4 linked regions of the Oryctolagus cuniculus genome follow. The protein of the gene in region 3 interacts with the protein of the main gene of each other region in a pairwise test. Links are inferred from orthologs where the notes say so. Each region holds a gene or a part of one and is shown on either strand. Other genes may lie near its edges.

The links.
Region 1: the proteins of LNX2 (region 3) and SRSF11 interact in a two-hybrid assay, tested with the Homo sapiens proteins (3 studies listed by BioGRID and IntAct). The link is inferred for Oryctolagus cuniculus from reciprocal best matches to the Homo sapiens genes LNX2 and SRSF11.
Region 2: the proteins of LNX2 (region 3) and PEG10 interact in binary tests that used the Homo sapiens proteins (3 or more experiments, as listed by UniProt). The link is inferred for Oryctolagus cuniculus from reciprocal best matches to the Homo sapiens genes LNX2 and PEG10.
Region 4: the proteins of LNX2 (region 3) and NMD3 interact in a two-hybrid assay, tested with the Homo sapiens proteins (3 studies listed by BioGRID and IntAct). The link is inferred for Oryctolagus cuniculus from reciprocal best matches to the Homo sapiens genes LNX2 and NMD3.

What each region holds. Positions count from the first base shown.
Region 1 is NC_091438.1:102,150,017-102,153,516, forward strand, and holds part of SRSF11 (serine/arginine-rich splicing factor 11), read right to left. Parts: intron 2,756-3,500; coding exon 2,663-2,755; intron 1,538-2,662; coding exon 1,488-1,537; intron 550-1,487; coding exon 422-549; intron 1-421. UniProt on the Homo sapiens protein: May function in pre-mRNA splicing.
Region 2 is NC_091447.1:41,286,235-41,289,734, reverse strand, and holds part of PEG10 (retrotransposon-derived protein PEG10), read left to right. Parts: coding exon 1-991; coding exon of another isoform or gene 992-2,172; 3' UTR 2,173-3,500.
Region 3 is NC_091440.1:86,898,217-86,902,264, reverse strand, and holds the start of LNX2 (ligand of Numb protein X 2), read right to left. Parts: upstream 2,801-4,048; 5' UTR 2,591-2,800; intron 1-2,590.
Region 4 is NC_091435.1:119,367,155-119,370,654, forward strand, and holds part of NMD3 (60S ribosomal export protein NMD3), read right to left. Parts: intron 3,336-3,500; coding exon 3,245-3,335; intron 2,349-3,244; coding exon 2,270-2,348; intron 1,571-2,269; coding exon 1,474-1,570; intron 1-1,473. UniProt on the Homo sapiens protein: Acts as an adapter for the XPO1/CRM1-mediated export of the 60S ribosomal subunit.

The DNA.
Region 1 (3,500 bases), on a different chromosome or scaffold from region 3:
CCTTTTAAATATTTATTTGTTTCAAAGGCAGAGAGGCAGAGAGAGACAGAGTGCTTCTCTATCCAATGGTTCATTCTCCAAATGGCTGCAAAAGAGAGGAACAAGGAACATCATCAGGGTATTTCACATGGGTGGCAGGGACCTAGTTATTTGGGTCTTCTTCTGTTGCCTTCTCAGGCACATCAGCAGGAAGCTGGATGGGAACACAGCAGCCAGGACTAAAGCGGCACTCTGATAAGGGATGTTGGCATCATAAGCAGAAGCATAACCTGCTGTAACACAACAATGTCTCACACATAATCTTTTCAGAATTTGGGAAATTAGGAAAAAAACCATATTTAACATATTTCCAGATTTATATACTTACTTTGGACAATAATATAGAATTTAATGTTTCACAAAACTCTACAAACATATTCACCTGGTTCTATAGCAGCAGAAATCAGGGACTGTGCTTCTCGTACTCTTTTCATAGCCTCCTCTATTTCTTTACTAGAGGTATCAGATTTCAGACTTGGTGAAACAAGACCAGCAGCTACATGATTCAACCTGAAACAGACAAGAATTGAGATCTGAAATATTTTAAGTGTATCCCTGCATTTCAAATGCGTATGTTCCACATAACATTTTTGAAAAACACTCCTTATAAAAAAGGGTGAGGATTCCACAATTTAGGTTAACAATACATTGTAAAGTGTCATTTTGAATATTTACAGTGTGCACCTGCATTTTAATAACTCAGAGATATCTGGAATAAGGAAAATATTCATTTAATTTTGCCGACCATCTATTACCATAGACCTTTTAAGAAATGTTAGTACAAGGCAATGTATTGACACAAAAATTTAACTGACCTTTCCCTTACATGATTAACAACATCCTACTTTTGTTGGGTAGAAAGCACTACTTTTTATTTTGAAGTTGGGAAGAAACTGAGGCAGAGGAAAAATGTCCCAAAGTTACACATGAAATACTGACTGGAAACACTAAAATGTCCCTTAAGAGGTTTTACACATGAAAGAAAAATTATACATATTCAAATTGAGCATGCTAGTTATTTGTGGGAGAGTGGTAATGTAACTAAGAATGGATACACTGGGAGCTTCAACTGTGCTGGTGATATTTTGTCAGCTGGATGGTGGGATTATACTTGAATTTTAACTTTAAGGTAATTTTTAAGAAAACAGCCACTAACTAGTAAAGACATCTGTGGTCTGCAACTTATTGACAGTGACATTTACCAAATTTACCACTTAGCAAATTTTAACATACCAACAAATTACCAATTTAAAAAGTTCCATAAACTTGTTAAATGTCAAGCAGTTAACAATTTTAATTACAACATGAAGTGAGCTTACTAGCGTGTCAAAGTTATTGGCTAAAATTATTTACCTAACATGTTTTACTTCTTTGCTCTGGGACAGTTTTTCCCAAACCCTAGATAGTGAAATGCCAAATCACTAATGGAAACAGAGAAAAACCCTTACTTGGGATCAACAGTACTCATGAGCTTCAGCAACTGATCTGCGGCAAGAGACTGCAAAAACAAAAATATAAGAAAAATGAAAATACAAATAACAGTACATAACTGCTATTTTCTCAGTATGTTTATGTCTCAGTATGTCCTGGAACAATCTGCCAAACCTACAAAAAGCAACATGCTCTGGGCACAACACTAACCAACAGAAATATAAGGCAAGCTATATATCATAGAAAATCTTTTAGTAGCCAAAAGAAAATACCAAAAGAAAACAGGCAACCTTAATGGCCACAATACTGACAGAGGAGCTTTAGCAAGTTATCTAAGATAATGAGGCTGAATAGTCCAGATTTCACAGAATTATCTTTTGATAATTTAAGGCTCTGCCAGTAAAATAGTACTTTCAAGAAACACATAAAGCGAAATCCAAACTAAACTATTTAGCCAGTGTATCAGAAGATCTCCACAAAGTAAGGATTTCAGAAAAAAGTTTAGGCAATTATAATAAAAGAAAAAAAATTCCCATGATAGAAAAACAAATTATGAGCTCATGTTCCCATTCTTTCATGACTATTTACTCTTTTTTCCACAACACTGATGGTGTCCTGGCTTCCTGTGAACCTATTTTCCATTTTGAATTATATGAAAAAAAAAAAAAAAAAAAAAAAAATTTTTATGGGTAACAGGCTAATAATTTAGTGAGCATTAAAATAACTTTTTAACACATTTGACAACAACAACAAATCATTTTTATAATATGGCAGTTAACTCCTGATCTTCAACTGCAAACTATAAATTAATGAAATGAATTTTCGGGGCTGGCACTGCGGCGCAGCGGGTTAATGCCCTGGCCTTAAGCACCGGCATTCCAAATGGGCGCCGGTTCTAGTCCTGGCTGCTCCTCTTCCAATCCAGCTCTCTGCTATGGCCTGGGAGAGCAACAGAAGATGGTCCAAGGCCTTGGGCCCCTACACCCAAATGGGAGACCTGGAGGAGGCTCCTGGTTCCTGATCGGTGCAGCTCCGACCGTTGCGGCCATATGGGGAGTGTACCTCTCTCTCTCTCTGCCTCTCCTCTCTGTAACTCTTTAAAATAAATAAATAAATCTAAAAAAAAAATAAATAAAAAAGAAATTTTCTATACAAAGTGACTCCAAATCTGAAGGGTAATAGTAAGTTGTACCTGAGAGTTCAAGTTTGCTCCAGGAAGCCCTAGTGCAGCAAGGGCAGGATCAAGAGTAGGAGCTCCCAAAGCAGCCAAAGGAACAGCGCCAATCTGAAAAACCAAATTTCATTTATTTAAAACTTCATTTCTGTGCCTTATGCTTCAGGTGAACTTTTTTCCCCTAAAAACAGAGTCTGTAGGCTCAAACTACTCAATTGTACACAAATCCATACAACTATTACCACTGTAGCTGAAAAAGGAACCAAAGACAATACACAAACCAACAGGCAGGCTGAATAAAAAGTATTAACAAAAACAGGCCTGATGCTGACACTGTGGCAAAGGCTGCTGCTTGTGACACTGGAATCCCAGCAGTGCCAACCAATTCAATACCTACCTGGCTCTGCTTCTAATTCAGCTCCCTGCTAATATACCTGGGAAGGCAGGAAGGATAGTCCAACTACTTAGGCCCCTGCCACCCACAAGGGAGACACTTTGTCTTGGCACAGCCCAGGCCATTGCTGCCACATACGAGTGAAATGGCAGATGGAAGACATCTGTCTCTCTGTAACTCTGTCAAACCACCCTACTTTGCCAACTCCTCTTTGTCTGAAGCCTTCCCTCCCATCATCTTTTAAGGATAACTGATTTAAAGGCAGAGTAACAGAAAGGGAGGGAGACAGGTAAAAAGGCAGATGAATCTTATATTTGATGGTTCACTCCCCAAATTCCTGCAATAGCTGGGGCTGGGTCAAGCCAAAGACAGGAAATTGGTTTTCCCTACAAGTAGCAGGAACTCAACTACTTGGGCCATCACCTGCTATCTCCCAGATGTATTAGCAGGATGCTGGATCAG
Region 2 (3,500 bases), on a different chromosome or scaffold from region 3:
CAACATGACCGAGCGGCGGCGCGACGAGCTGTCGGAAGAGATCAACAACCTGCGCGAGAAGGTCATCCGGCAGTCGGAGGAGAACAGCCAGCTGCAGAGCCAGGTGCAGAAGCTCACGGAGGAGAACAGCACCCTGCGAGAGCAGGTGGAGCCCCCTGCCGCCGAGGAGGAGGCCGAGGAAGACGAGCTGGAGCTGCGCGGGGCCGCGGCAGCTGCTGCCCCGCCACCCCCCGTGGAGGAGGAGTGCCCCGAGGACCTCCCGGAGAAGTTTGATGGCAACCCGGACATGTTGGCGCCCTTCATATCCCAGTGCCAGATCTTCATGGAAAAGAGCACCCGCGATTTCTCCGTGGACCGTGTGCGTGTCTGCTTCGTCACCAGCATGATGACGGGCCGTGCGGCGCGGTGGGCCTCAGCCAAGCTGGAACGTTCACACTACCTGATGCACAACTACCCCGCCTTCATGATGGAGATGAAGCACGTCTTCGAAGACCCCCAGCGCCGGGAGGCCGCCAAGCGCAAGATCCGCCGTCTGCGCCAAGGCATGGGCTCGGTGGTCGACTACTCCAACGCCTTCCAGATGATCGCCCAGGACCTGGACTGGAACGAGCCCGCGCTCATCGACCAGTACCACGAGGGCCTGAGCGACCACATCCAGGAGGAGCTGTCCCACCTGGAGGTGGCCAAGTCCCTGTCAGCGCTCATCAGCCAGTGCATCCAAATCGAGAGACGGCTGGCCCGGGCGGCTGCGGCGCGCAAGCCCCGCTCCCCGCCGCGTGCGCTTGTGCTTCCCAACGTGTCAGGCAACCACCAGGTGGACCCCACCGAGCCCGTGGGGGGCGCCCGCATGCGCCTCACCCAAGAAGAGAAGGAGCGCCGCAGGAAGCTGAACCTATGCCTCTACTGCGGCACCGGTGGCCACTACGCCGACAACTGTCCTGCCAAGGCCTCCAAGTCCTCGCCGGCGGGAAACTCCCCGGCCCCGCTGTAGAGGGACCTTCAGCGACCGGGCCAGAAATAATAAGGTCCCCACAAGATGATGCCTCATCTCCACACCTGCAAGTGATGCTCCAGATCCATCTTCCGGGCAGACACACCCTGTTTGTTCGAGCCATGATCGATTCTGGTGCTTCCGGGAACTTCATCGACCACGAATACGTCACCCAAAATGGAATCCCACTGAGAATCAAGGACTGGCCAATCCTCGTGGAAGCGATCGACGGGCGCCCCATCGCGTCCGGCCCGGTCGTCTACGAAACTCACGACCTGATTGTAGACATGGGAGACCACCGAGAGGTGTTGTCCTTCGACGTGACTCAGTCTCCTTTCTTCCCCGTGGTCCTGGGCGTACGCTGGCTGAGCACACATGACCCCAACATCACCTGGAGTACCCGCTCCATCGTCTTCGACTCCGACTACTGCCGCTACCACTGCCGCCTGTACACGCACCTGCCGACTGCGCCCCAGCCGCACCTCTACTACCCGGTGGACGGCTACCGCGTGTACCACCCGGTGCGCTACTACTATGTGCAGAATGTCTACACCCCAGTCGACGAGCATGTCTACCCAGACCACCGGCTGGTGGACCCCGGCATAGAGATGATCCCAGGAGCGCACAGCATCCCCAGCGGGCACGTGTATACCCTGTCGGAACATGAGATGGCGGCGCTGCGAAACTTCGTGGCCAGGAACGTGAAGGACGGGCTCATCACCCCCACCATCGCCCCGAACGGGGCCCAGGTCCTGCAGGTCAAGAGGGGCTGGAAGCTGCAGGTGTCCTACGACTGCCGCACTCCGAACAACTTCACCATCCAGAACCAGTATCCTCGTCTGTCCCTCCCCAACCTGGAAGACCAAGCCCATCTGGCCACCTACACCGAGTGTGTACATCATGTGCACTGCTGCCATTCTTGTCATTCATGCCATTTTTATCATTTGTGCCAAAGGTGCCATTCGTACCATGCCTACCCTTCGTACCCAGCCTACCCTGTGGGCTACGCCTGGTACCCAGTGGGCCGAGACATACAAGGAAGAGCGCTCTACATCCCTGTCATGATCACCTGGAACCCGCACTGGTACCGCCAGCCCCCCGTGCCGCAGTACCCCCCGCCGCAGCCGCCGCCGCCGCCGCCGCCGCCCCCGCCGCCGCCGTCGTCCTACAGCTCCCTGTGAGCCCGCTCGAGGCCGCGGGACCCCCGCCCTCCGGGCCTCCTCCTGTCCAGCTTCCCCGTCAGTGACTGTGTGCTGAAGGCGGCCGCCGGTGCCGCAGGTCAGGCATCGGCCAGCGCCTGCCCGCTGCGCTCTGCCCCGACTGCCATCTCGCGGGAGTCCACCTTCCAGCCTCCGTCACCACCCGGATTTCTAGCTGCCAAATTCTGAACCCAGAAGCTGACCCCACACAGGAAATGCTGACTTCTCCGAGGAGGGGGAGCGGAGGAGGAGGACAGGACTTCTCGCAGTTTCGGTCCTCTGAGTTACACCCCTGGAGGACCCGCGCCTTATGAAGGAAGCCGCATTTACTGGTGCAGTGGGCAGAGGCTTCCGTGATGCTAGTGCTGCACCTTCAGAAACTTCACCTTCTTCGAGCTCCACGTTCATGGTTCCGTTAATTCTCAAGGAGCAGCAACTCGACCGGTTCTCCCAGGAGCGGGCAAAACCCCTGCAACAGGAAACACCTCAGGCCTGGAAAGGAAGTGCTCTATCAGAGACTCTGGCGCGTTAAGAGTGTGCCTTCACACCCTGGTGCAAATCACACGTACCCAAGAACTCTGGCTCGACACAGCATCGACACAGCATCGTACCATCACCACGCCAGGAACAGCTTCCACCAAGCGTTCCGTGTCTGTGACGTGTCATGACCACCTCTCAATGACGCGCGTGGGCCGAAGAACAGCGAGTGGATAGGACTCCTAAACCCTGTACCCAACTCTTAAGAGACTCAGAGTTCCTTGTTTCCAACTTTTAGTGGTCTTTCAGAGGGAGTTTTCACGAGTGTTGGTGACGGGTTGCAACAGCAGCAGCTTACAGTTTTGGAAACATCTATCTGTGTGTGTGCCTCCATACGCATCTGGGCATTCCATCCTCAGTTCCCTCATTGGACTGTACCATTTTAGGATGCTGAGAGAGGGGCAATGATTTTGCACTCAGACCCACACTCCTGTACAAGGGAGGGATGGATGTCTTTGAGGAAGAGAAATTGTCTTGAGGATACTGACCTTCCTGGTGAGCTTTTTCATTCAACAGGGTGACCTGATGTAACCACTTTGAAAGGATCCCTCCAGGTGATGGAGCCAACATGAAGCTCTCAAAAATTGGGTGAAAGGCCTCACACACAGCTGTTGCCAATCCAGTGACCCCTCTGGTGTCAGCTGGACGCTCTGTGCTAACCTGGGACTGCCTGACTTCTTTAGCCTGGTCCCTTGCTATTACCTTGAAGTGTTTGTCTAACCTCTTTGTGTTTGATTCTTTACTACTGCCATTAACCCTGATGCAGGATTTGT
Region 3 (4,048 bases):
GGGGTGCCAGCGCCGCAGGCGGAGAATTAGCCTAGTGAGCCGCGGCGCTGGCCTATAAGCTGTTTTTACTGCTCCTTCTTATATCCCCTTGCCCTCTACTCTCTCACTAATGTCATCATCACTAAAGGAACAACTAATATTTATTAAGCACTTGACTGTTCCAAGGGAATTTACATGTGTAATTTCAGTTGATCCGCAAACACTAATAAACAGGTACTAGGATCATCTCCGAAATGTTAGGAAATCCAAACTCGGGACAGGAATCCTAAGGGAAGGTGACAGAATTAGAATTCAACCCCTGTTCTGACTCCAAAGCCAGCTTAACCTGTATACTGTACATGCCAATGCCTCAAGTCAGAAAACCCAGGCATTATCCTTGTCTCATTAGTCTTGCCCACTTACCTAGTCCAGCCTCCTAGCCATACCTCCTAAATGCCATATCACCTGTCCTGCCATTGCCTTCATACAGAAAGACAATTAGTATATACTAAGTCCTCAATGCATGCCACACACTATTCTAATATACAGAATTTTGGGGTTTCTTTTACATTTTAGTCCCTCGAGCCCTATGAGATGAAGAACCTACTGAACAAAGAGGTTGTGCAGTAAATGACACAGCCAAGTTCAAACCCAAATATCTAAATAAAAAGCCCCTGAGGACTTAACCCCTACATTCTAACAACCTCTGACTTTGTCTCCCTACCTCCCACCTGGATGCCCATCCTCCCCCAGGCCACTGCAGATATCTTTCTGGAACGCAAATGTTATGATATTTCCTTGCTTAAAAATTAGCAGCTCTATATCACTGACTGGATGAGGTCCAAATTTTCTAATTCGTTATGCAAAATCCTCCATTTTTCTGCTGAAGTCAGTTCAGTAAGCATTTGAGTGCCTGCTGTAAGCAAGGCAAAATGCTAAGTCTGAAATGAGTAACATACCACCCCTGACTACTACTTCAACTACAGACACTGTGTCCCTTGGTGAAGCTGACCAAACACAGATTTCATAAAGCAACTCTCTAACACATGCAGCCACTTGCAAGGGGCATGTATGTCAGTCCCTTGGCCTAGGCTGTACCTGGTAAAATCCCACACCAACCTGAAGAGTGCCCATGTGAGGCCTCCTCTAACAAACCCCAGGCAAATGCTCCATCTTCTAAGTTCCCATAGCACTTTGTTCAAGTTACTTTCTGATAAGCAGTGGACCAGAGGTGAGGACCAGCTTCCAAATGAGAGTTCGAGCAACTTCTGAGCAAGAACTGACCCTGCCATCAACGCCTGGCATGCAGTAGGCATTTTATCAGTGGTTTGAATGAATAATGAAAAATTCCAAAATTTCATGAAGAGAGGAACAAGATACAGAATTAAGAATGTTGACACACAAGTGGGCCAAATAAAGAGCAGAGTTATTCTACTTTGGCTCTGACTTGGCCTAGATTTTATCCCTATGGGAAAACTCACATATGAGAGTTGGACAAGCTAAAAAGGCCAAACTTTGTTATTCCTGGCTCAACAAAGCTCTGACAGGCCCAACAGGATACTAGATCCCTCCTCCCCCTTCCTCCTTTACCTGCCAAAGTCCTCTTTCCAAAGGGCTGTGGGGGTGGGAAACAAATCTTTCAAAGTGCATTAAAATTGATCCACTGGTATCCAACTGCATCAGTGCTGTGTCACAGTGTGTGCAACAGAAAAATCAAAATCTTTCCTGGGAAGAAGGCCAGTTTGCAAGTAAGTACTATTGCCTCAAGAATGCGAAATTCCTAGTGAGGCCAGTTCCAATAAACTGGAGCTCACAACTGTTCCTCCTGCCCTAAGACCACTTTTCTTTCAACTTCGTTTCTGATTCTTGTGATTTAAAAAAAAAAAAAAAAAAAAGGAAAATCTATACAGGGAAGCCCATGCATGAATGTACTTTAACTCTAGGCAAATCCAAAAGTCAGGATCCATAACTGAAATACTATTAGAAACCCTACATCTAAGTTGGAAGTAGTTGTCTAAGACGTGGCATAAAGAGAGGGATGTGTTTCCTGAATGCCTCATGTTGCTTTGTGTGCAATGCTTCCAAATCAAGATCCGTATTTTGAAATTACCCCCAGGAGTTCGTCTCCAGCCTGAGGATTCCTGGGCAACAGGCTGGGGCCGATGTCCCTCCACTGCTTTCCAGGGGCACGAAATCCGACGGGGAAGCAGCTGGAGCCACACTCATTCCCAACACACACGCGAAATTAAAAAAAAAAAAAAAATCACCACCACCTCTGGTCTCCCCTAAAGAGCAAACGACGCAAAGATCCGCACCGCGGTGGCCAGAACCACCCAATGCCAAACCCCGGGCCGCCCGCCTTCCACTCGCCAGCCGGGCGCCGGGCGCCAGGAGCCAGGCGCCGGGCAGCCGTCCCCTCCTCCCCGGACCAGCCTGGCCAGCCCCGCACTCGGCTCCGCGCTGGCCCCGCAGCCCAGGCGAGCAAACGGAGCCGAGGAGGACGGCGGCTCGAGCGCGGGCTGCGGCGCTGCCCCACACCCCGCACCTGAGGCGGCTGCCGGCAGCCGGCGAAGAGAGCGCACGGCGGGGAGGGCAAGGCAAAGTTACTCACTGGGAAAGCGCGGCTGCCCGGGGCGCGCAGGGGCTCCCGGCGCCGCAGCCAGGCGCCAGCTCCCGCTCTCCGCGGCCCGCCGAGGGAGCCGGGAGTCGGCCAGGCTCCGCTCCTCCGGGAATCGCCGCCGCCGCAGTCGCGGGTTTCCCGGCAAGAAGCAAACTCTGGCCAAGACTTCACTTCTCAACCGCCCCTGCTGCCTTCCCGGGGGCGAGCGCCGGGCTGAGCGGCCCAACCCGACACGCTGCTGGGCCAATCGGCGGCGCCACAGGGCGGGGAGGGGGCGGATCAGAGGCGGATCCACCTATCAGAGAACGCAGGGGGCGGACCAGGAGGGGCCGTCATTCCTAGGTTAGAGTGAACCTACTCCGTCCCTCGCCCCTCGCCCTCCCCCACCCGCCTGGGGCTGTCCCCGCCGCTCGCCTGATTCCTCTGTGGAAGGCGCTCGGCAAGTGTGTGAGCGAGCGCCGGGCAGCCGCGGGGACAGCGGGACAGCTGAGCAGGGGACGCACGGAGCGGGGTGGGGGGAGGTCGAGGGGAACAGGTGGCGCGGGAGAGCAGGCGTGTAGGTGTGCTGGGCGAGAGGACAGCCGGGGTAGAGGGCAGCGACCGGGGCTGGCCGGCGTTAGAGAGGTTGCGGGAGCCGGGGGTGAGCAGCGGGGAGCAGCACTGAACACTCCCAGAGAGGAAGGGGCCGGAGAGGGAACCCCGCCGAGGAAAGGCTGCCGAAGCGGGGTAGGGGACGCCTGGGAACAAAGATGAGAGGGAGGTTCCCCGGGGGTGGGGTGCAGAAGGGGTAAAGAAAAGGGTGGAAGGGAGGTGCATGGCCGGGGGAAGGAAAGGACGGGGTGGGTGAGTGTGCTCCCAAACTCCCACTTCTCCCCTAAGGAAAACGGTAAACGCTTGTCCTGTGTCCCGGGGGAGATGCTTAGCTGCAAGAACCCCACTGAGTACTGTCTTGAAGCACCACGTTCTGTTAACGAGACTCAGCCCCTCCTATTTAAGGACGGTATAGCCCAAGCCTGCGGTCCCACAAGAGGTTGGATTCCCGGGAGGCCACAGGGTTCCAGTCGAGTCTAGCAGGCCGGACTTGGGTCCCAAGAAGGGAGGTGATGTGGGGGCGGCAGGTAAGGCCCTGCCCCCTTCGCCACCAGTTGGGGAGACGGTACCAAAGGTGGAGCTCGGGCGCACGCACTGTGACCGGGGCCTCCGGGTGCGACGCCAGCGGGCCCTCCGCCGCCCTCCTCCCGGCTCGCCCCGCACGCCGCCAGGCTGGGGGCGCGCCAGGTGAGCGGCTCGGGCCCGGCGCCACCGCCCTCCTCGCGCCGGGGGCGGGGCCGGGGGCGGAGCCTCCACGTCCCGCCCAGCGCCCGGACCCTGCCGCGCCGCTGCGGCTCCTCCTCCCTCCTTCCGTCGCCGCCTTCTTCCGTCCGTCGTTCCTTCCTTCCTGCCTCAGCC
Region 4 (3,500 bases), on a different chromosome or scaffold from region 3:
CCCAAATTCATTAATTCTTAGGCTTCATATGTCAGGAAATGTTTATTGTTTTAAAAGAGGAGTTGGCAAAAAACGACCTTAGGGACAAATTTGGTCCACCATTTAAGAACTTTGAGAGACAGATATACAGAGTACTCATCTATTGGTCCACTTCCCAAATGTCCACAACAGCCTTCGGCTGGGGCAAAGCCAGGAGCTGCAAACTCAGCCTAGGTCTCCAACATGCATGGCACAAACCCAATTACTTGAGTTACCACTGCTGCTCCCAAGGTCTGCATTATCAGGAGCCTGAGGTATCAAACCTAGGCACTCATAAGGATAAAGGATGCAGGTGTCTTAACTGCAAGGCCAATTGCAGCCCCACCACCACTTATTGCTACAGGTAGTTTTATGGGAACACAGTTCTGGTCACTCACTCACATATTAATCATGGCTGCTTTTGTATAACAAGAGCAGAGCTAACAAGTTGCAAAAGAGGTTATAGGGTTTGAAAGCAAAAAATATTTACTATCTAGCCCTTTATAGAAAGCTTGCTGGTAGGCAGCAATCATGGCTAAAGTACATGAGTTCCTGCCAACCTGTGGGAGACCAAGATGGAGTTCCTGGCTCTTCACTCAGCCTGGCCTCACCCTGTTTGTGGCCACTTGGGAAATGAACCAACAGTGGGAGTATCTCTCTCTTTCTGTCTTTCAAATAAAAAAAATGAACACATCTTAAAAAAAAACTGCTGACCCTATTTTAGGCTATTATTTTACTCTAGTACTGTATACAAAGTGAATACTTAAGTAAATAGATAATGGCATCATAGAATGTTCACAATAAATAATGGTAGTTATCATTATTAGTGGTTTAATATAAAAATGTGAGTTCCTACATGGTAGAGAGCTGACTAGTCATGAACACATAGTCACATAGTATTCTATATAGTGAATGCTCAATAATTACTTATTGAATTTTAAATCATTTACATTTTTGTAGTTTGTATCTTAGAAGATCAAATGAAATAATCTACATTTAAAGGTTTTATTCAGATACTTTTAAATAACAAAAAGGATTCCGTGATCTCATTTCCACAATATTGATTAATTTAATCCTGCCAAAATCCTGCTTGCATATGTTCCACAAAAAGCTCACTAATACTTATTTTAATATCATTTCCTGTATTCAAAGTTTTGTAGAACTGTCATATGTCCACTAGGATCACAAGTTTTAAGGAAAATGAATTTTTAAAAAACTGAAACCAGGACATTTCATCTTAAAAAAACAAATGAAATGCATTTCAATTCATAATTACAAGCATGGTTACTTTTCTGTATCTTTTTAACATGGCTGAATATTTCAGAAATCATTGAAGTTCGTTATTCTACACTTTACACCAAGTTCAGAAAAAAGCCAGGAGTTATAAACTACATTCAAACCAATTAATCACTTGTATTCTTATATAGATACGAATTATCAAATTTAAAAAATTACCTTGCATATTGGAACAATTTCCACAGAAAAAGTGCTTTTGTAATTGTATGTGTTACTATGGATATCTTGAGATATCAGTCTTTGTGATGCTTTGTATCTATTAACAAAAAAAGATTAAAATCAATATAAAGACTAAGGTTCTTGTGAAGACAGGAATATCAATTTTCATCAAATCAGATTATCACTGTCCAAGGTCTGAAACAGCTTCCTGATGTCTGCTATGTTAGAGCAAATTTCATCCACGTGTAATTTAAAACCTTCATAGGTCTAATTATATTCCATCTATTTTCAACCTTATCTGCTGAAAGCCTCCAAAATATGTACTTGGGCTCAGACCAATGTGCTCTCTACATGCTATCCATTAAAACTTACCCAAATGCCCACTGCAAGTCTTTGTTCACCCTAGTATCTTCTTTAAATTTTAAATTCCACCTTTGAAAAATTTTTCCCACTTTTGAACCACAAGTCCCACTTCTTCCATAAAGCTTTCCACAAAGCTCTCTTATACCCTATTTTTCCTGTTTCATATAATTTAAATACATTTAATCAATGGTTCAGCATAACAGTGTTTAGTATCACGGTGTTAGTTTTAGCTCCCCAAGGAGATTCTTACGTGCTCTTCAGTTACTCTATCACTTAAAGTGCCTAAACCAATAAAAGCTTCCTGACTGTATAAGTAAGTACTCCTACGATTTTTAAAATTTTTAACCTAAAGAATATTGTCAAAGCCTCAACAATGTTACCCATATCTATTCCCAGATCCCCAGAATAAGCCACATTTAGGTTTAGAACATACCTACAGGGAACTGTACACTGAAGAAATTCTACCATCTTCTGAGCATGTTGCTTTGAGGAATAATAGAAATCCAGACCATCTGAAAAAAAACAAAATTCTGTAAAAGAAGACTTACTTCACAAATTAAATCTATACTAAATAAAATCAAATCAGAAAATATAAAGATTATATTGTAGCCATAACTGATTAGGAATATCATTTAAGATTTGCTTGATAAAAGGACAAAATAAAATACAAGGCCAAGAGAGAGAAACAGATATTTTATGTATCACTATTTGGTATCACTATTTATTATTACTAAATTTAGACTTCTGAATTATTGTATACATCATAAATCCTCTGATATGAAAAACATAAAAACAGTATAGAAAGAACTTATAGAACTCAAAAATAATTAACTTCTTCCAATGAGAAACTGTTCTCTCTACTACATAAAATAAGTTTTTGATGAATCTTCTATCATAGCATTGAACACTTTATTCACATAGTTACTGGTTACTCATTAGGTAACAAGGCAAACGATTCACTGAGGGCAGGAGTTAGTATCAGTTCATCTTTATGTTCTAAGAACACAGCATGGCATCTATCATAAACCAGAGGGTTGATAAGTATCATTAATTTGGGCAGAGGCAGAAAATCAAAGAAAAAAATTCTGAGTTCTAAGTCTCTGCTATATAACAGAGTAGCCACATGTAACCTGAATCTAATTTTAAATTAAAATAGGAGAAAATAAAAATTCAGTTCCTCTAATTAGTTGCACTAATCAGATTTCAATTACTCAACAGCCACAAATGACTAACTAGTGACTATCACACTGGACAGAGAGGATATAGAACTAAGACGTTTTTAATTTCCTAACAGAAAGTTCTTTTGGATGGTACTACTAATCCAGAAACTATCAGGAAAGATAAGATTACTTAGGTAAGTTGAAATAAACTATGACATAATTTCAAACTCTTTCCAATTTTAACTCACCATGAATCTCTTTGATACGAAGTGTATTCTGATGCATTCCATACTTCAGAATCAACTGTTCCAGATAGTAGAAAGTTTTTTTGTGCAAAGTCTAAATATAAATATATTATTAATAAATTAAAGTCAAAATATTTATAAATATAGCACATGAAGATACCATCTATAGATATGGGACACTGAGTTTTCAAACAAAAACCATATTTAAAGATTATCTAAAATAGAATAATATCTATTTCCAAAGGTGAATGCTTCAGGG